3 linked regions of the Oryza sativa Japonica Group genome follow. The protein of the gene in region 1 binds, or shares a complex with, the protein of each later gene. Links are inferred from orthologs where the notes say so. Each region holds a gene or a part of one and is shown in the gene's direction. Other genes may lie near its edges.

The links.
Region 2: mediator of RNA polymerase II transcription subunit 13 (region 1) and mediator of RNA polymerase II transcription subunit 18 share a complex: the UniProt entries of both Arabidopsis thaliana proteins name them as parts of the mediator complex. The link is inferred for Oryza sativa Japonica Group from reciprocal best matches to the Arabidopsis thaliana genes GCT and AT2G22370.
Region 3: mediator of RNA polymerase II transcription subunit 13 (region 1) and mediator of RNA polymerase II transcription subunit 28 share a complex: the UniProt entries of both Arabidopsis thaliana proteins name them as parts of the mediator complex. The link is inferred for Oryza sativa Japonica Group from reciprocal best matches to the Arabidopsis thaliana genes GCT and AT3G52860.

What each region holds. Positions count from the first base shown.
Region 1 is NC_089039.1:22,057,435-22,060,959, reverse strand, and holds part of mediator of RNA polymerase II transcription subunit 13, read left to right. Parts: coding exon 1-452; intron 453-546; coding exon 547-808; intron 809-898; coding exon 899-983; intron 984-1,071; coding exon 1,072-1,159; intron 1,160-1,397; coding exon 1,398-1,476; intron 1,477-2,405; coding exon 2,406-2,701; intron 2,702-3,254; coding exon 3,255-3,525. UniProt on the Arabidopsis thaliana protein: Component of the Mediator complex, a coactivator involved in the regulated transcription of nearly all RNA polymerase II-dependent genes.
Region 2 is NC_089036.1:5,238,146-5,242,263, forward strand, and holds mediator of RNA polymerase II transcription subunit 18, read left to right. Parts: upstream 1-1,215; 5' UTR 1,216-1,408; intron 1,409-1,489; 5' UTR 1,490-1,519; coding exon 1,520-1,555; intron 1,556-2,719; coding exon 2,720-2,819; intron 2,820-2,890; coding exon 2,891-2,948; intron 2,949-3,026; coding exon 3,027-3,383; intron 3,384-3,475; coding exon 3,476-3,587; 3' UTR 3,588-3,775; downstream 3,776-4,118. Other genes in the region: brefeldin A-inhibited guanine nucleotide-exchange protein 1, read right to left, coding at 1-935. UniProt on the Arabidopsis thaliana protein: Component of the Mediator complex, a coactivator involved in the regulated transcription of nearly all RNA polymerase II-dependent genes.
Region 3 is NC_089039.1:3,232,220-3,236,191, reverse strand, and holds mediator of RNA polymerase II transcription subunit 28, read left to right. Parts: upstream 1-1,251; 5' UTR 1,252-1,323; coding exon 1,324-1,516; intron 1,517-1,914; coding exon 1,915-2,027; intron 2,028-2,886; coding exon 2,887-3,021; 3' UTR 3,022-3,378; downstream 3,379-3,972. Other genes in the region: U1 small nuclear ribonucleoprotein A, read right to left, coding at 3,764-3,972. UniProt on the Arabidopsis thaliana protein: Component of the Mediator complex, a coactivator involved in the regulated transcription of nearly all RNA polymerase II-dependent genes.

The sequences.
Region 1 (3,525 bases):
TAGATCTTGTCCCCAAATATGACATAAAAAGGAAAGAAAATATACCAGCTAGGCTATCTATTGATGTTGATCATGAAGTATATGACAGATCATTAGAAAATGTTGGAGTTTGGAAGCCTGTGGGGACACCTAAAGGGCCAACACATCTAGAGTCTTTTTCTGCTAAAACGTATACTGGTACAAGCCAAGGTCTGCCTGTAAAAAGACAGCCTATTGTGGATCTTCTCAGCGCCATGGCTCTGATAGTTCAACAATCTACTTCGTTTGTTGATATCGCACTTGATATGGATGATGGAGATGGCTCTTTTTTCTGGCTTTCCTTGGATGAACAAAAGAGACGTGGATTCTCTTGTGATCCTTCAATGGTTCATGCTGGCTGCGGCGGAATATTAGGAACGTGCCATTCAAAGGATTGTGCTGGTGTTGATTTAGTTGACCCACTTTCTGCAGAGGTAAAACATGGTTCTGTTCATGTTCCTATCATTATATCGTTCACATTTTCTCCTAATGCCAAAGTTTATGCCCAATCTCTTCTTTTGGATACAGGTTTCAGACTCATCTGTGATTAGCTTGTTACAGTCTGATATAAAAGCGGCTCTTAAAACTGCCTTTGCCAACATGGACGGTCCATTATTAGTGACTGATTGGTGCAGGGGTCGAAGTAATGCAGCTGAGTATGCATCTATGGGAGATGCATACTCTTTTCAGCACCCAACTGGTGATATCCGGGAGTCCTCAAGCAGTATATCCATAGGTGGAGATTCAATGAGCCCACCCCAATCAAGTCATGTTATATCTAATGACCGAGGTATTCCCACTTGATACTTCTTTCACAAAAGTAATATTTCAGAGCAAGCAAGAAATTATGATTCATCCGAGAGATCAAATGTCTATGCAGGCACTTCGGAGCTGGAGCACCATAGGGGATATCACCGTGTTAGACCAACCGTTGCTGTCCTCCCTTTGCCTTCTCTGCTTGTCGGGTAGCCTAATTTCTTTCCCTGGATTATTGTTGGCCTTAACTAAACATATTGTCTGTGTGAGTTACTGATTCAAGTATTGTAACCGCAGTTACCAGGATGATTGGTTAAAGACCTCTGCTAATTGTCTTAGCTTGTGGGAGAAGGCTCCTCTGGAACCTTATGCTTCACCAAAGCCTGTAAGTATTATTGGATTTTGTGGCTTATAATCCATAAGTTTGATACTTTTGGATCTATTAATTGTTTAAAGTATCGCCTCTCATCCATAATTACTTTACATCAGTGCATAGTAACTATAATCCATATAGTTTTTGTAGCCATAACAGCGAAATGTTGCTAGAATCGATAAAGGTTTCATTATATTTAATTAATTAATCATTATCGACTTATATATCTCTTATGTGTGTGCTCTTTTAGGTTACTTATTATGCTCTGTGCCCTGATATTGAAATGCTTACTTCTGCGGCCACTGATTTTTTCCTGCAGCTTGGAACAAGTAAGTTCTTCCTCTTCCTCTTGCTTTTGTTACCACCTATGAATGTACAACTGTTATTGGAACACACATTCAGGATTACGGACCATGGTCAGCTAATTGCAGTTTCCACTGGCTTCTGAAAAATGAAAATCTATTTATTTTGGACAGTTTGATATAATATAGTTACACATTTGGTTGTGCCGAATGCTTAGAATATACTTGTATATTTACAAACCAAAAGAAGAACGAAAGAAAACCAGCTAATTTTGGCAAATGGGATTCCCAATTTCGTGAAGCTCTTGAACAAGTGTGACACACAGTCCAAATGTGATTGAGCTTGTCATAGTAATAATGGTGGGAGGCAGTCTGACATTGCTTGGTTAGGGAATGAAAACTCAACACTTTAGGTTGAATTACCATTCAACATATTCAACTAATGGGATGGTACGTATTCTGTGATAACAGATGAAGAACGGAGGGAGAAGCTAACCAAATTGACACCTTTCGGCAGTAATGCTAACTGCTGTAATGCTGTTAACTGTTTCTAATTTACCATTTCTCCCTCAATATTTTCTTTGACCGAAGAACAGTATATTTCTTCCTCAATATTGACTACCGAGTGCCAAATAATATCCTGGGTGCTTCATATGAAATTAAGAGACAAAATTGCTAATTAACCATAAGCTTAGATGATACGTAAATTTAACATGACATTTTTACAGTTGATCTTTTCTGTGCTTCTAAGATGACATATTTGACATCAAAATCATGTCTGTGACTTTGAACATTTTAATCTAGTCATTGTTGGTGACAGTATATAGGTTTAATGTTACCATGATCTTTTGGTACTGAAGTTGCTTGCCATATTTTGTTAATCTTGTAATCAATCCATTGTGCTGGAAGTGTTTTCGTTATTGTTTATTGCACTTATTGATTGTTCTTTCCTACAGTTTATGAAGTTTGCAAACTGGGAACTCACTCTCCACAAAACAGTGGAGGGCAAATGGAACTATCCCCTGGAAAATATTTGTCTTCAGGGCTCGTTCTCACCGAGTGTCCTGATCAAGTGAAGATTGGAAACGGCCACTCAAGTTCCATCAGTTCAACAAGCGAATATCTTCAAGCTCTTTCAAGAAACTGGACTGTGAAAAGCTTTGTGACATCTCTGACAAGGGTGATAAAGGACATAAAACTAAATTCAAGCATCTTGGCAAATCAGAAAGAAAGCACTAGTGGACCTTGCACTGTAAGGCCTTTTTTTTGCATTTTGTCCCTTTCACATCTGTTCGATTGAAATAATTTAACAAAACAAAAGCAGCATCTCTCTCCTGTAATGTCTTTGCACTTTGCACAGATAACCTCACTGTTTATTCTTATTTGTTTTCTCTTTAGTCCATCTGCCCTAAGCATTGAATTTCAGAAGATTCACTTGCTTCCTTTCCTTCAATTTTTTTCATGAGAACAGTAGGGGATACGTAGAAAGCCCCAACATTAAAACTGTACAGAAGAATTTTCAAATGAAAAGCATAGATAACTGTTTGACATGTAGTTATTCAATTGTAATATAACAATTTAGTACCACCTTTATTTCGTATATAATTTGTTCTTCTAGGCTATTTTCTAGACATTGTACTTGTACTATTTTCATTCTTTGTTCTTTTCAAATTGTGCTGGAAAACACTGTTTCAACACACCATTATATAGAACACATTATTTTAACACAAATTGTTTGTTCTTTGTAAATTGTGCTGGAAAACAGGCCAACAGTAGCAATATGATAACACTTATTATCCATGCAGGTAATTTATGTAGTCTGTCCATTTCCCGAACCTTCTGCTGTCCTAGAGACACTGGTAGAATGTTCTGTTGCTCTTGGGTCGGTAATGTTATCCCCAGAGAGAGAAAGGAAATCATTCCTATATTCTCAGGTTGCCAAAGCCCTAAACTGCAATGCTTCTGTTGATGAATCATCAGCATCTAATGTTGTGATGCTCTCTGGTTTCAGTATACCTAAGCTTGTCTTGCAGATTGTTACTGTTGAAACTTTATTGAGACTCCATAAGCCAAACA
Region 2 (4,118 bases), on another chromosome or scaffold:
AACTCAAGAGACAACACCTTCCCGCGCAGCAGGACCTGATCTTCGGGATTATCCGGCGTCGAGAACTTCATGGACAGCTTGCACAGGTTCTTGAACAGTGTCAACCCATCCTCCCTGATCTTGCTCATGACAACATCCTCCTTCCCATCCGTCTCGGCCGGCTCAACCGGGGACCCCGGCTCAGGGACATCGCTTCCCTCCATCGTCTCGTTTATGAAGCTCTGCGCCGCATGGACAATGCTGGAGTCATTCAGGTTGCGGTCAGACATGTCCATCATGTCGGTGATCGACACCGTGCGCACGCGCACATCCATGGAGTCCACCTCCACGCGCGCGAACACGATCACCAGCACCTGCGCCAGCGCCAGCTTAGCGCAGAGCTGGTTGGCGCCGCTGCTGCTACTGAGGTATATGTTGTAGCAGGTCTTGAGCATCTGGCCGAGCCCTTCCCCGCGGATGGCGACGGAGGGGCACCGCGCGGCGGCCACGAGGACGCGGAGGGTGGAGAGCTCCATGGCGTCGTCGGCGAGCGCGCCGCAGGAGAGCACGGCGGCGAGCAGCTTGGAGGACGGGGAGTCGTCGTCGCCGCCGCCACCGCCGAGATCACCGACGAGGAGGCGGTGGTAGAGCAACTTGGCGACGCAGTCGAGCGCCGGGTCGGCGACCTTGGGGGACGCCGACTCGAGCGCGAGGAGGAGCGCGTGGATGCACGCGTCCGCGGCGGCCGCCGGCAACCCGAGCAGCAGCGACGGCGGCGACGGCGCCGACGCCGACGCGTACGCCGACGAGGAGAGCAGGTCGAGCGCCGCCTTGGCGGCCGCCACGAGGCCCGAGTGCTTCCGCCACGCCGCGTTCTTGATGATCCGGTCCAGCGCAGGGCCCAGCACCCGCCCCGACGGCGACGCGCCGCCGATTGCCCCCGCCGGCGAGGCCATAGTTAGCCGTCCACGCAGACTCTCACGCGCTCTACGCGGTGGTCGTCGCCGTCGCCGTCGCGGCCATTGGATCTGAGACCTCGAGACGAGGAGGAGGTGGAAGAAAATGGGAATTCGAGAGGAAGACGAGACGAGCGCGTGGGGGAGGAAGAGGAAGAGGAGAAGTCAGAGGAAGGGTATGACTGAAATTTCAGATTCTTCCAGGGGCCTAGATGCAAAAACGCCGCGACCCTTCGCGCGGGGGTGAGGCATTTTATCACTTTACCCCCCTCGGTTTCTCGGAATTCTTTCTTCTCGTCTCCATCGCTGCAGGAGGAGGAGGCGGCGGAGGACGGCGAGCGGTCAGTGGCGGAGAGGGGAGTGTTCGGGGACGCGGGGTTTGCGAGGTGGGGGGAGCTCTTGCGCCTCGGATCGGCTCACTTCCCGACGCCTCAGCCCCCGCCGCGCCGCGGATTATTGCTGTTAGGTTAAAGGTGGGGGTGAATTTTTGTTGCTGCGAGGTAGCTGTTCGACGAAATTCCGCAGCGTGGTTTCAGGGTTTGTCTCTCTTGCAGGGATTGTGGTAGCGAGAAGCGGTGGGGTTGATGGAGTGCGTGGTGCAGGGGATCATCGAGACCCAGGTTATTGTTCTTCTTTCTCACTTCGCCAGTAGACTTGTATGAGTGGTGACTGTGTGAGCGGTTGTTGAAGTGAACGGTAGTTTCTTCCGAGAATGAGTGATCTGTAGCTATGCAACGATGCATTTTTGTTCATATGAAACTGATTTGTCTGTTTATGCTGTAAAACATGACCAATTTGAACTTTTACCCGGAAAATCATACATGGCCCGTAACATAAGCCGGAGTGATGGTAGATGTGATGTTCTTCATGGATTCTTGATTTTTGTATGATGGTAGGCCTTTCTGGGAAATCGGTACTAGTCAAGTTTGCTGATCTGACATTTGCGCTCCTTACTTGTATGTTGTATCTAGAATTCTGAATTTTATTTAATTTTTGGCATAAGGTTATTTGGCCTTTCGCTTTGTAGTAACCTTATCCAAAGGAGTTGGAATGTAGAATTTCGACGTTTACTAAATGAACTTTCTATCACTTGATTTAAGATAGCATTTTTGTTGTTGGAGGTGTCAATTGCCTGAAAACAGACCTCTGTAAATGTAATTGTGATAAAACCTTTTGAAAGGTAACACTTAAGCTATCCCAGGTAGCAAATCTATCAACTGCATAGCCCCAATGTCAAATTACATCTCAATAGTCCTACTTAGGAACAAAGTTATTTTTTCACTCCATATAGCATGAAGTAGTATTGGAACTTTATGTCCATAGAGAATTTCTTTTTTCTTGAACGAAACACATCAGGGAATAGAGAATAATAATTCATGCCAGCATTAAGACTTTGTCGTCGATCCATTGTCTCTATATGACCTTTTGTTAGTCTCTTATAGCTTCCTCTTGTCAGCATATCAACACTTCCCTTCAGGATAATAAAAAAAAAGTATACAGTTGATCATGCTGACCACTATATGGTCAACCATGTTTCTCCACTCTGAGGGCACTACTTCTGCCACTTGCAGACTTTTTTTGATTCTCTTTTCAATATGTTGATATGGTTCTATTTTATATACAATTGGAGGAATCATATCACTTATATGGTTTGTAATTTTACAATAAAGGGATTAATTTATATACACATGTCAATGTCTTGTGCTTAGAACACCATTTAACCTTTTTTAGTTTTCATTGCTTTGACATCAGTGTAACTTTTGGTTGATCTTCTTGTTATGCAGCATGTTGATGCTCTTGAGGTTCTTCTCCAGGGCCTCTCTGGTGTCCCAAAAGAACGTGTCAGAGTGCATGAGCTCTGTCTTAAAAGTGGGCCAAATCTAGGTCAGTTTGCAACTTTTTCATTATTCTGATCATATGCCATTGTTACTCATATACATCTTCCAATCATACAGGAGTTGTCCCATCAGAGGTTCGTTTATTGTGTGACTTAGCTCAGTCCACGCCATCCTGGTAACTTTTCTTTCAGCTGCTAAAATTTACATTTTTGTGATATTTGATGATATTCTGAATCCAGTAGTATTCATGTAGGACCATAAGACATGTTGGAGGTGCCATGAGAGGTGCTGGTGCAGAGCAAATCTCAGTCCTTGTGCGGTCAATTGTAGAGAGCAAAGCCAGCAACAATGTATTGCGTTACTTCTACGGTATAGGGTACAAGTTAGATCATGAAGTTCTGAAGGGAGGATTTGCATTTCGTTTCCACCGAGGTGCCCAGATAACTGTGACCGTTACCTCTGTTAGCAAGATGACAAAACTCCATGCTACCAACGAAGCTGTGCCAATCACTCCTGCAATACAGCTAGTGGAAATCACGGCCCCTGCTGCTGCTGACAATTACAACGATGTCGTTTCAGCCGTCACTTCGTTCTGTGAATATCTAGCACCGTAAGTAACTAAGTGTTCCTTAGCTATCTCAAGATTATTACTAGACTGGCATAAACGAATTTTCTCACTTTTGACTGCAAAACACACTGCAGGCTTCTGCATCTCTCTAAACCAGGCAATTCGACTGGAATCGTCCCGACTGCAGGCGCTGCTGCCGCCTCACTCATGTCAAGTGGTGGTGGTGGTGGTGGTAAAACGTTGTGATCGGTCATATGTGTTGGCTGCAATGCCATGATGATCTCCATTGACCATCCCACTTAAAACATTGTTGCCATCTTTAGTTCTGTAACTTTTAGTCAGTAGCACCATGGTTTTTCTTGTAATGACATGCTAAATGCTGCCTACCTTGCTTTGGAGACTGGTAAATGAACACTGATCATTGCTTGCTTTTACTGAAGAGTGGAAACTGAATGCTGGGAAAGCTTGACGATATTGGTGGTAGACTGATAGCTGGAGTTTGTCATGATCCTGACAATATATTTGATGGTAGCTTTGTTTACTTTAATTTAGGTCACATACGTGGTAAGGATCTCATGGTTTGGGACGTTCAATTGCCCAGTAGTTTTTCTCTAGTTAATTAGTGTGCATCAAACTATTTTCTCTAGTTATTATGTAAGTCTAGCAGTCAAGTTACCAGAAATCAGAATACACTGCATGCATTACTTGCATAGTCAACAAAGTATCTCAATGACAACTGATCTTCCTAAAAGTTGCTGCAAAACGAAACAAAGCCGG
Region 3 (3,972 bases), about 19 Mb from region 1:
ATTTGACTATCAATTTAGATTTGATCTTTTAAATATTAAGAAATTTAAGGGGCAACTTACAAAATTTACAATGAGGGTAGGTATGATGACATATTCACTATATGACATATCTCCGTTTTTTTTTTTGAAGAAGTATAGATTAGACCAATTGACTAGCCGACTGGGTACATCGGTCGTACTCCCCAAAATGGCACCAACCTAACCTAATGCTATATTAGATTCTGCTATAACTTATAATCAACTAAGGAGTATATTACATCAATAAAAGAAATATCTACCGATAACATTAAGTTAATTGTGACTATCACTGATCGATTAATTAGATGTATTTATGACAACCGCATGCATACGTGTCGAGCAGCAAAGAAGTGTGTTCACTTTTATGCTACAGTAAAAAAATCAGAAAGTCACGAAGTCAAGCAATATATGTTGCCATATTTGATGTTTAACACAAGATTAAATACACAAACATAAAGATAAATGGGACTTAAACAATATGCATAGGAAAAAAAATATTAGCATTTCATGTTTCTTTTTTCTAAAATACAACGGAAATTCACTGACTCCATATGTTCATATTGTAATCTAAGTTTATCTTTCAGTTAAACTTCTCTAACACCGGTTGGCTTTATAAAAAAAAATACAAAATCTGTAACACCAAATTAGTTTAATTAGATTCATCATGAAATATGTCTTTATTGCATTTATTTATTATTTTATATATTGGTGCATTTTATTCAAACTCAGACAATTAACTTAGAAAAAAATATTTATAGACCTAGAATTTTTCCCAAATAGAATTCCAGATTTATTTTCCAAATAGAAATATCATAAATATCATTATATATATATATATATATATGTATATATATATATATATGTATATATATCTATATATCTAATAAATCAAACTAAGTCTAAATAACTCTAAAACATTTATACATCCTAACAAAGGTATAAATATTTACAGGGTACTTTTAAGCTATGTTCTTCCCCCCATTTTCCCAACCCACCTATCTTGTTTTCCACGTGTACGCTTTTCAAACTGCTAAACGGTGTGATTTATAAAAAAACTTTATATATAGAAGTTGTTTAAAAAAATCATATTAATCTATTTTTTAAAATAAAATTAGATAATACTTAATTAATCATGCAATAAAATAAACTTCGTTTTGCGTGGCAGGAGGAGGGGTTCCCAAGCCCCTCCTCTGAACACAGCCTTAGTAGGTGCGCCAGGCGCACCCATTTTCTAGTAGTTTTTGGAAGAAGGGTTTCATTGCAATTTTGCGATCCCCACCTCTCTCTCTCTCGTCTCTCGCTCTCATGGCCGAGCCGCCGTCGCAGTCGCCGGCGCAGACGCCGCCGCAGGCGGCGCAGCAGCAGCAGCAGGGGCCCGGGGAGAGCGCGCGCGACGACATGATGGCCTGCGTGGCGGCGCTGGAGGCGGCGCTGCTGCCCTGCCTCCCCGCGCGCGAGCTCCAGGCCGTCGACCGCTCCCTCCAATCCTCCCACCAGAGTACGTCGGACTCACTGAGACTGACCCCGCCGCTCCCCCTCTCTCCTCCCTCTGCAGCCTCCCTTCCCCGTCGTTCTTGCGCTTCCCCCGGCCAAGATTTGGCGCGGCTGGTTTGGTTCGACTCGCCCGCCCGCCAGGTGTTCGCTGTTTTGCCTACGAGGTGGGGATTAGGAAGCCCCTCGTGCTCTAGCAAAATGTGGCGAAGTTATTTTTTCTTTTTACTTGCGCTGTTGGTACGCGGGCGTCTCGCGGGTGCTGAGATGAGATTGAGAGGGTGGCATTTGAGCGTTCTACATCTGTGTGCTCAACTGTCGATGTAGAAATTGGATTCTTTTGCTTTGTTGCTGGTTAGCAAAATAGGGATTCTAAGGTGTTGTGGTTGTTATAATGTGGAACAGTTGATGTTGAGAGGCACGCGAGGGATTTCATGGAGGCTGCGAAGAAGCTCCAGTCTTACTTCATCAGCCTGCAGCGCGAGGACCGACCGTCGACAGAAGAAATGCTTCGAAAGGTACATTGCATTGCTTTCGGAACAACTTTGCTTCGAAAGGTACTCCTTGACTTCGAAATGATTAGCAAATTAGAACTTTGTGATTAGCAAATTAGCCTGTAGGTAGAACTAGGACCTTGTTTGGGGGAGCTTAAGATTTTGAGAAGCAATTGGTTGGTAGTCAGTTTATGAGAATATGAAGAAGCTGGAAAGTTAGGTTTCTTGTTTCTAGTTTATTTTCTGTATTCTTTAACTACATCTTCTCAGAATCTAGATGAAAAGCTGAACTGTTTGAGTGAGCTTTTAATTTTAGGAAAAGCTGCAGCTGCCAAAAGCTCCCTCAAACATGCCCTAGGTTGGGTAAGCACAGAGTAACGATTTGACACCAGAGTACACAGACATGGGAGGCTGAGAGCTTGGGGATGGCGAGGGAAAAGGTCTAAAAAATATTCAATTTTCAAAGATAAGGGCTTGAGTTTGTCTCTTTTACAGTCTTGAATTGACTGGGCCAGCTCTAAATCAGTCCCGTATTGTTAGCACTAATTCTCTGAGATGTCTAATTGAAGTTTTTTTTCTGTGTTAGTACTCGTTGTGCTCAACATTTTAGAGTGCTTGAGATCCAATGGTTTTTAATATTTGGCCCATCAATAAGTTTAAAGCTATCTAGATTGGTTGTATAAAATCCATTTGACCCTCTCTTTGAAATCAATTATATTGATGTTATATTGCAACCGTTGTAAAAAAAAAATTGTGCATCGATTTTTCTCTATAAGCTTCATGGGAGAAATCAAGAGAAATCCTATATGGCGTGGTCCCCAAGCTGTAATAATCAAATAATAATGTGTCATCATGTTTTAACATGTCCAGTTTCGGTTTGCAGGATATTGCTATAATGGAGGAAGAGCTGAAGACCAAGTCCGAGCTCATCGACAAACATAAGAAGCTCATCGAAGGGTGGCAGAAAGAGCTGAAGGACCAGCTGGGAAAGCATGTTACTGAACTCGAAAGAGTGTGACACCACTGTCTTCCATGAAATGTCCCAGGCTCCTTCCGATGATCAACCTGAGTAGCCCAGTGCTGGGCTATGCCTTGGAGATTTTGAGTACGCCAGCCAGGAAAAAAAAAACACCACAACAATGTTTTAGGATCTGACCAGTTTGCCGAAGACGAACAAATTGCGCTGTATTAATGTTCGTTGCTATGTTCGGTTTATCATAATATTATTGTTCGTAGTTTCTCGTGTGCTCTCCATCTCATCGTGTTAGGCATGCCTAACATGTTAAACTTTTAGATTTTTCGGAGCAACATCTTTTTCCCGATTATAGGAGTGTATGATAACATGTGTGTTCAATGGAATTGTCTAATTGCCTCACTTGTCATTTTAGATGTTTCTTTCAACATATTAATGATTTAATGGTAATTGAATCCCACAGTTGCTGTCAGGTGACCATGGTGACACAACTACACAAGTATGACTATGAGATGGTAAATATTTTAACGAGGCTAACAGCAATAGCATAAATGTAAATCGTCTCAAGCTGCCATATTTTACACAAGGGAACACGAGTGGAACTAACTAGGAGAACTCACGACTGCAAAGATGGTTCAAATTTCATCTCATTCCTGAAACACACACGGGCAGCTGAGCAGTAGTACATTAACATGGTTGTCATGGTGTAGTCTACCTAACAATGAAAATCTATGGATTATGCGAAAACTTGGGACTACAACATTCATCGAGCAAGTCAATAGTACATTTACTTCTTCGCATACGAGATAAGCATCTGGTTATCTTTCGTAATTTTGAACCCCTGAAGATGGTTCATGGCAGCGGTAGCCTGCCCCTCGTCGCCGTACTCCACGAAAGCAATCCCAGGCTTTGCTTCAACCATTCTGACTTCCTTGAACCCTGGGTACTGACAGAAGAGCATCTGAAGCATCATAGGGGTCGTCTCATGTGGGAGGT